Linked DNA regions of Nothobranchius furzeri. The protein of the gene in region 2 purifies or fractionates together with the protein of the main gene of each other region. This does not show direct contact. Links are inferred from orthologs where the notes say so. Each region holds a gene or a part of one and is shown on either strand. Other genes may lie near its edges.

Region 1 (4,262 bases), on a different chromosome or scaffold from region 2:
TCTGCAGCAACTGTGTGATGCTGTCAGGTCAATATGGACCAAAACCTCTGAGGAATGTTTCCAGTACCTTGTTGAATCTATACCACGAAGGATTAAGGCAGTTCTGAAGGCAAAAGGGACCTGGTACTAGCAAGGTGTACACAATAAAGTGGCCAGTGAGTGTAGTTTACCAGACGTTTTATAAAAGGCCAAATGTACCTTGTTGCTTGGTTCCAGCTTCAGAGCCTTCCGTAAAGTTTGAATGGCTTCTGTGTATTCAGCCTGCAGAGCCAGAACCTAAAGCAGAAACACACAGCAGGCAACAGGTTAGAGGAGTCTGAGAAACACAACATGAAAGAATCAGAGCAAAGAGCACCTTGCCCATTCGAAAAAGTGCTTTAATATTCTCTGGTTGATGTTCAAGTGCTGAAACACAAGACTTCAGTGCTGCGTCATAGTGGTCCAGCTTCAGCTGAGAAGCAGCCATGTTGTTTAGACACTTTACTTTGACATCCAACAGCTCGTTCTCCTCCTCGGGGCTGATGTCAACTGCTCAAGGAAACATGATAAACAGTTAAGAGTCCTTATGTATCAAAATAAGAAAAATCAACTGTTAGTATCTTGTTAATATCTTTTCTTTTAGAAGGAAATATAAAGCTTTGCCTGACTCCTGCACATGCTTCTTACCTTTGGAACAAGAATCAGTAATCTGCAGGGCAACGCCATATGAGTTGACTGCAAAAGCATAATCCCCACGTTGGTAGTGAACATTCCCCCTCTCCCTCTTCTGAACAGCCAGGGCTATTTTCTCCGAGGGAGGAAGCAGCTCCAAGTCAGGTGCATCTGTAGCCTCCAACAGCTCCACCTCTAAGGAAAGCTCAGCATTTGGCGGAATGTCAGGATCAAGACTAGGAAGTGAAGGACGCAGGAGACAGAGTCAGGGACACCAGCCGTAGGAGACAGTTCACAGATATTACTGTCATGTTTCCTTCTTTTTCAGCAACCAAATGCAGGCACATTTACTGAGCACAGTGTTAGGAGGAGACACACTGGTAAATATAGCTTTAAAGGCATAGCTTCAGAGCAAATATGAACCGATATTGTTATTATCCACAGGCTTGATCTTCCTCACCACACCATTGTTTTAAGTGTTGGCTTAATAAAACTTCTAATCTTTGAAGAAACCACAAACATCCCAGACTCATTAAGCATTAATTCAACAATCAGCTGTCGGGGACAACTGTGAGCATCTCTCTCCTGCAATGTCCAATTCTTTAATATTTCCTCAAAACATCTCTGGTTTGAAAACTGTGACGTGAAAGTCATGTCTACATTTTGAACTAATAACACTAGATATAATGGCCCTAACGTGGCAGACTGTTCAGGAGCATTTCAAAATGTTTCCTACCTTCCTCGGACACCGTATGCGTATTTTGCATCTGTCTGGATGAGTGCTTTCTCTCCAATTTCCATAAGCTGCACTGTCAGATCCAGTGCCTAAATAGATTAAAGTGTTTTTTGCTTTAATGACTTACATGCAAATTTAACACACACACACACACATATATATATATATATATATATATATATATATATATATATATATATATATATATATATATTATTAAAAACCTATTCAACCAATCATCTGAGTTTTTCTTTTTCTTTACCTGGATGACATCACCATCTCCCAGAGTGAAAGCGAGATCACATAGCTCCTGTGCAAGTGTACCATCCATCAAGTGTGTTTTAAGATGGATCTTTACGACCTGTCCTTTGTGAGGCCGACTGTCACGTCCCTTCCCTGCTTCAAGGACCTTTTTCTTCAGCTGGTCGTTACCTAACAGCAGATAGATCTGTTTATAAAATTGGTTACATATAACGGAACCATTAAATGTTCATAACTATACAGTAATGGAATTCTAGCTTCTGCTGTGAATGCCACTAAATATTTGGAAAACATACAAACAACATACAAATGCAAACTATTAGCATGTTGTCTGTAAGAATGTGTCTGGTTTTGTCACATTTCCCTCATACCTAAAACATCTAGCCATTCATCAATGTTGCCAGAAGGTTCTGGATCTTCAACCCTTTTCTTTTCTGCATCTTCTGTTTTTTTACTGTTTCCACCCCCGGCATCTTCCAGAGGAGGAAGGTCGTCATAAATGTCTTCATCACACAACACCTCAAAGTCCTCCCCGCTGTCCAGCAACGAGGTTTGTCCATGCTTCTTAGCAGCAGGAGGTCCAGCTGAAGACTCCATTCTCAAACGTGTTCAGTCCTCAGCACATCACCTGATTAAGGAAAACAGAAAACAGCTTGAAGTGATTCACTTTCTGTGAAAAGTAAAACTGTGTATGTGCTGAATCCTAGTGAGGAAAAAAAGCCTTCAACTATGTGCAAGTCGACGTTAAACACTGTGATAGGTCACATGATGATAGCTACACAACTGTTTACCCAACACCTCCTTTAACGTCTATTTATTATTTTTAATTTTAGCAAACAATGTGGCAACATTTCGCAAATTTAATTATTACGCTACCTGTTAACTGTTGTGCCCTGACAAATCTAGCAAGAAGTTTTAACAAGTTTTCCTCCAGCTAAATGCCCAAGCGGCTAGCATGCTACTGCTAATGCAAGTAGCATTAGCCGGTTAAGCAATACAGGTACTAAACGATAATAACGAGTTTTTACTCTATTATACGATAAACCATTGGGTTTATCACGTCAATGCAGTGAGAGTGGGTCAAAGTGTATATGCGTTAATCGAAATAAAGTACAACAAACCTCCAAGTGGGCTTGTTTCGGTCCTGAGCTGTCCCTTCGTTAAACTCAAAGTGAAGTCAGTTCAACGTTGTACTGATGTGTCGGTAGTGAACGAACTGGCTCTAAGAGCCGGCTCTTTGAAGTGAACGACGGGAGCCGGCTCGTCATTGGGAGCCGTCCCCTCCCCTTTTGCTTTGGTGAACGCCACAGGCAATTGGTCAACATGTGTAACTGCGTGTCCAGACTGTCCACACACAGAGCAGTAGGGGCGGGGAAGAGGGAGGATCAGACTCAGACACACAGCAGAGCACATGCGGGTGGAGGGAGACGAGAGGGAATGAGGAGGAGGAAAAAGGCGAGAGAGAGAGAGAGAGAGAGAGAGAGAGAGAGAGAGAGAGAGAGAGAGAGAGAGAGAGAGAGAGAGAGAGAGAGAGAGAGAGAGAGAGAGAGAGAGAGAGAGTGCGGCAAAGACGGTGAGAAAATGAGCGCCAGCAGTCAGAAAGTGGAGATTTCTTAAAGTGTTCAGTTATTAAATCCATTCAAATGATAAATAGTTTATATATTGCAATTTTTTACATTAGTAAATCATGTTACATATATTTTAGCATTTTTTTTGGTTATAAATATACTCTACGCAACAGAAAATGTGAGGAGCCACTTGGGAGCCGAAAGAGCCGGCTCTTTTTGGTGAGCTGAGCCAAAAAGACCGGCTCTCTAAAAAGAGCCGGAATTCCCATCACGTCGTTGTGAGGCGGAGGACCCAAAAAATAAAAAAAAAGTACGCGTGTTGATATGTTCAGCAGCAAGCGAACTTCAGCCCTGTGCTTCCTGTTAACCTTGAGCTCCCCCTTGGTGCAAGTTAATATTTTACCTCACTAACATGGAAACGACAGCAGTTTGGAGTTTCTAGTAATTTTCCTTAATTAAAAAGGTAAAAGTAGATAATAATAATAATAATAATAATAATAATAATAATAATAATAATAATAATAATAATAATAATAATAATAATAATAATTAGAAGAAGAAGAAAAAGAAGAAGAAGAATAGATGACTGAATTTTTGTTATTTGTAAAGGGACATTGCATACTAATGAACATTTACATATTTCATGTAGGTAAATATGCATTATTTTAGCCCGGGTTAATTTCCAGCAGTAAATGTTAAATAAATGTAACATTATTTTGTCCAATTTGATTATGTTAATAAAATATTCTCAAAGCATATGGACACGTTTTTAATCATGCTCTGCAACATGAAATTTCAAAACCCGCGTCAACGCCAAAATCCCAATTGCCTTTCTCTATAGTTGAAAACATTTGACAGCGTGAACTGAATCTTTGGCTTCTATTAGTTTCACCTTTAGGCTGCCACATGTTTCAGTAAACTTAAAAGAAAGATTGTAGCCACTTCTAAAATATTTTAAAATAATTTATGCATGGATTTATTAGGTTGACATAACATTATTTATGGTATTTGTGCTTCTGGGTCAGTTTCTTCTGAAACCCTCCAAA
Region 2 (4,457 bases):
TGTGTGACCGAGCTGTGAAAAAGGGGCGGAGCTTGTGCTTACCTGGTGGCCACCTGGTGGCTGTAAAGCCTCTCGCCTTGATCGCTGAACAGCCTGGCGAGACCGAAATCGGCGATCTTTAGGTGACCCGAGGAGCTGATGAGCAGGTTAGCTGGCTTCAGGTCCTACACACACACACACACACACACACACACACACACACACACACACACACACACCAGAACCAGAATCACAAACCCTTATGGGCCGTGGACTGTGTGTGTGTGTGTGTGTGTGTGTGTGTGTGTGTGTGTGTGTGTGTGTGTGTGTGTGTGTGTGTGTGTGTGTGTGTGTGTGTGTGCGTGTGTGTGAGCAGTGCACTCACCCGGTGCATGATGTTATTGCGATGCAGGAAGGCCACGCCCTTTAGCAGCATCATCATGTACCCCTTGACCTGTGCCGGGGTCAGAGGTCGCTGGTGGTTCCTGATGACCTCAGAGAGGTCCGACAGCATGAAGTCAAAGACCAGAACAAAGCCCGTCCCGTGGGGAAAGACGTCCTTCAGCTTCACAACCTGGAAGAGTTCAGGACAACGTTCCCAAAAGGAAGATTGAATCATTCCCAACAAAACATCTGCAGGTTTTTTTTATCAAAGCAGCTGAAGCTGAGCACCGAGGGTCCACCAGGTGTGGTGCTGTAATGGAACCAGATTTCTGCTCAGACTTAAAACCAACAGCAGATCTGGGCAACCAGGCACTTACCAGCCCCCCAGATCTCTGTGATGCTCCTCCTCGTCTCCTCAGAAGGAGGAATAGAGAACGTAAAATCATGGAAATCTGTTAATTTGGCAAATAGCTTTGTGAGGAATGGCCTGCAGATCAGGTGGATTCAGGACTGTGGTTCTGACACCATCACGAACACCAGTTTGTGGCATTTCAGTAGCATCAGGTCTGACACCTCGCTGTCCTCTGAACTGGGCAGAAGCAGCTGGAGGGACACTCACATACTGGTTGTCCTCAATCTCCTGCAGGGCCTTGATCTCCCTCAGAGCCTGGTTCGGGATGCCGTCTTCCAGCCTCCTCAGAGCCACTTTCTTCAGAGCCACCGTCTCTCCTGTCTGAGAGAAAAGGCACAAGACGAACATTCTGAGGAGGAACTGCTCTGCACCTGGAACCAGACCCAGAGGCTGGATCTTTTGCTATCGGTACCTCAATGTGTTTGGCCTTGAACACAATGCCGTGAGCTCCTTCTCCGATCCGACCCTGGATGCTGTACTGCTCCATGTCTGGGACAAGAACCTGATCCGGTCTGCTGATTTCTGCAGGAAGACCAATTTTTCATCTGATTCCACATTAAAACTTCAAGCTGTAACATTAAACTAAATAAGATATAGGTGACCTCTTTTTGAGAAAGAAAACACCTCCCAGAGCTTCTTTTACCTCCTCCAGCTGACCGACAGGAGCCAGAATTCAGACCGGAAACAAAGCTCCGTGTACAAAAGACGCCGTTTACGATTTTGCGCGTTTCAGTTCAATAAAACACCAACGTTTCTGAAATATTACGGAACGATAACTGAAATAAAGGTCGTAAGTTTTATTCGGGTTCTGAGATTATACATAAATCAGCTCGATTTCAATTGGATCCGAATTTTACAGAGGATGCTAACTCGTGTTGCCATGGTAACGTCACCACTAAGCTAAGTTAGCTCCTATGGCTTAATGAAACCGTCGAAATAATTTCAATTCGAGCAGAAATGTTTCCTGATAGTCGTTCAAGCCTGAAAGCGCGGCGAGGAGATCCGGTTTTCGGGCCTGAAACGTTTGAAAACGTTTTGTTTCAGACAAGAGCTGCGTTAGCTACGGTCACGTGACAACGGAAGTCACGACACAGATCCAAATCAGCTAGAAAAGACTCACATGTCAGTCAGAAGTGAAAATTAAATAAATAAATTATATATATATATATATATATATATATATAAATATATATGTATGGGGTTATGACATGAATGTGTATATAGGTTTTATGGGTTTTACAAATGTGTAATTTGGATGTGTTTTTAGAATTTAGAGATTTTAGTGCCGGCTGCTTCACAATGCTGTCTCGAATTGCCCCTCGGGGACTAATAAAGTTGTCTTGAGTCTTGATATATATATATATATATATATATATATATATATATATATATATATATAATCAGTCTGGAGCGTCTTCGTCTAATGCATCTATCTGTTTTATGTCTACATGCTTTATTTTGAAAATTTGGGGGCACTCAATGATTTAGTTCCGGTGTAAAGAATTATTTACATGCTAGCTTGGCATGCTAGCTGTGCTAACGGCACGTTTTTGTGTCCGAAACGGTTAATTTACATTGAGCAGAAATTCATCTGAACTGAATTAATCCGCATGAAGTTATTATTGTTGTTATTAATCTGAAAAGCTGCATGGAGGAACCTGTCGCTGAAAACGTGGACCGGAAGGTTCTGCAGTACGAAACGTTCATCAACGAGGTTCTGAAGAGAGATTTACGGTACGATTTAACTCGTATAGTTGATTTAGTTTCTCAGCTCTGCTCCTCTGTTTGGTTTTGAATTCTGAGTAGTTTCACAGATCCTGGTTTAGTTAGGGCAGGGTTGGTAGCTCTAGCTTGAAGCAGGTAAATAAAAGTTGGTGCTGGGTTCTGATGAATCTAAGCAGTTTCCGGTTAAGTTTTGATGCGATGTTTATGTCTCTACAGACACGATCATTATAGTACAGGTTAAGTTCTTTAAACGTAAATCATAAAGTTGTATTAAACACATTTGTGACAATCACTATGACCAGTGACTGGTACCTGGTTACCATGGCAGCCCCCCAGAGGGCGGGGTCTATCCGGCTAGAGAAGTTGACGCTTCATCTGAGCGACCAGAACAAAAGTCAAACTGCGGTGGTGAGTCCACAGAGTCGGATGATGTTCTGGTCTGTGGAATCAGAACCAACCAAAAAGATCCAGTGAAGGAGAACCAGAGAGTGGGTCCTGGAGAACCACGGATCCCTGGTGTGGTTCTTATCCAATAGAACAGTCAGAAAATGATTGCAAACTCATTTCAAATACTCTATTTTGACACCTCACACACACACACACACACACACACACACACACACACTGATGAAGGTGTTCTGTTTGACAGGAAGGTGTTGGAGCAGAGAGACCAGGTTTATGAGAAGATCTCCCAGTACCTGCAGCTGAAGAACACGATCCAGAGTCTGCAGGTAGTGTGTGTGTGTGTGTGTGTGTGTGTGTGTGCGTGCGTGCGTGTGTGTGTGTGTGTGTATGTGTGTGTGTGTGTGTGAGAGAGAGAGAGAGAGAGAGATTTTAAGGAGGGAGGCATCACTCTGGGAGGATCATAGGGCCTCCTCTAGGATTTTTTTCAGTTGTTTGAAATATTTTCAGCTAACATCCGCCATGTTTTAATCTCTGGAAACCTTTTAACTGCTGATGAAAATCCAGCGGAGCTGTGTGTTCTGGATCAGGAGTTCTGTTCAGGCCCGATCCAACAACAGACCAGTAACCTGAGCTCTTTAGGCCTCGTGCTGTCAATCAGAAACGCCTGTTTGTTTGTGATAGAATTTTGTGTGTGTGTATATATTTATATATGTTTATATCATGATGATGACGTTGCGGTTATGTCACTCCGTGTTCTTGCAGGAGGCGGAGTCCCAGCAGCTGAAGACAGACGTCGATCTGGGCTGCAGCTTCTATGTTCAGGCTCAAGTGTGAGTGTCTGTCTCTCTAGAGTGTCCAGCTCCTCCCTCCACAGACATTTAACCTCTTTTAGATGTTTGGTTCTGGTTCTGAGCAGTTTGGTTGTGTTTGGTCCCGGTTCTGACCCGTTGTTCCCCTCCTTTGGACAGAGACGACTCGTCCAGGATCTTCGTGGCGGTCGGTTTCGGGTTCTTCGTGGAAATGACCCACGATGAAGCTCTGCAGTTCATCACCAAGAAGACGAGTCAGCTGACAGTGTGAGCTCTGTGTTGCCGTGACAACACAAACTTTTTGTCACACGTCTCATTTTTGTCGAGCTGAGATCTAGTTCTAAATAAAGTTGAGGGAGTTTGAACGAGTGCTGTGTTAGCTCAATGTTCGGAACCAAAGATGCTAACCATGCTAACGCTTGTTTTGCAGCTTCACAGAGCAACTCACTAAAGACGCCGCCAAAATAAAAGCCAACATCCGCATGGTCCTTGAGGTCAGTTATTATGTCTATGATCTGAAGCTCTTTAATATTTGATTTGAGTTTTTCTGCTGAGTGTTTGATCTTCTATAAGTCAAAGCGAGTCAGAGACTCGGTAAGATCTGAAGTAGAGCCGGTCCGGTAGCGTCGAGGTGAGTTGGTGCTGATGGAGAGGGACGTTCTCCTCTAAAATCAGATGTGTTCATCGTGGAACCACGGAGAACCCTGATCCTCCAGATGAGGTGTCTGATTGGCTGCTATCTT

Evidence for each region.
Region 1: the proteins of cdk20 (region 2) and fkbp8 purify together in Homo sapiens (affinity purification with mass spectrometry; 5 studies listed by BioGRID and IntAct, with this or other methods). This does not show direct contact. The link is inferred for Nothobranchius furzeri from reciprocal best matches to the Homo sapiens genes CDK20 and FKBP8.

The regions. Positions count from the first base shown.
Region 1 is NC_091748.1:52,427,200-52,431,461, forward strand, and holds the start of fkbp8 (peptidyl-prolyl cis-trans isomerase FKBP8), read right to left. Parts: upstream 2,902-4,262; 5' UTR 2,770-2,901; intron 2,277-2,769; 5' UTR 2,246-2,276; coding exon 2,020-2,245; intron 1,820-2,019; coding exon 1,650-1,819; intron 1,477-1,649; coding exon 1,388-1,476; intron 888-1,387; coding exon 667-887; intron 529-666; coding exon 356-528; intron 277-355; coding exon 199-276; intron 1-198. UniProt on the Homo sapiens protein: Constitutively inactive PPiase, which becomes active when bound to calmodulin and calcium. Seems to act as a chaperone for BCL2, targets it to the mitochondria and modulates its phosphorylation state.
Region 2 is NC_091755.1:47,133,886-47,138,342, forward strand, and holds the start of cdk20 (cyclin-dependent kinase 20), read right to left. Parts: upstream 2,836-4,457; 5' UTR 2,813-2,835; intron 2,510-2,812; coding exon of another isoform or gene 2,424-2,509; exon of another isoform or gene 2,246-2,423; intron 1,884-2,245; exon of another isoform or gene 1,378-1,883; intron 1,298-1,377; 5' UTR 1,263-1,297; coding exon 1,188-1,262; intron 1,097-1,187; coding exon 983-1,096; intron 554-982; coding exon 365-553; intron 165-364; coding exon 43-164; intron 1-42. Other genes in the region: protein UXT, read left to right, coding at 2,424-2,509, 3,150-3,231, 3,668-3,735, 3,874-3,981, 4,145-4,208. UniProt on the Homo sapiens protein: Required for high-level Shh responses in the developing neural tube.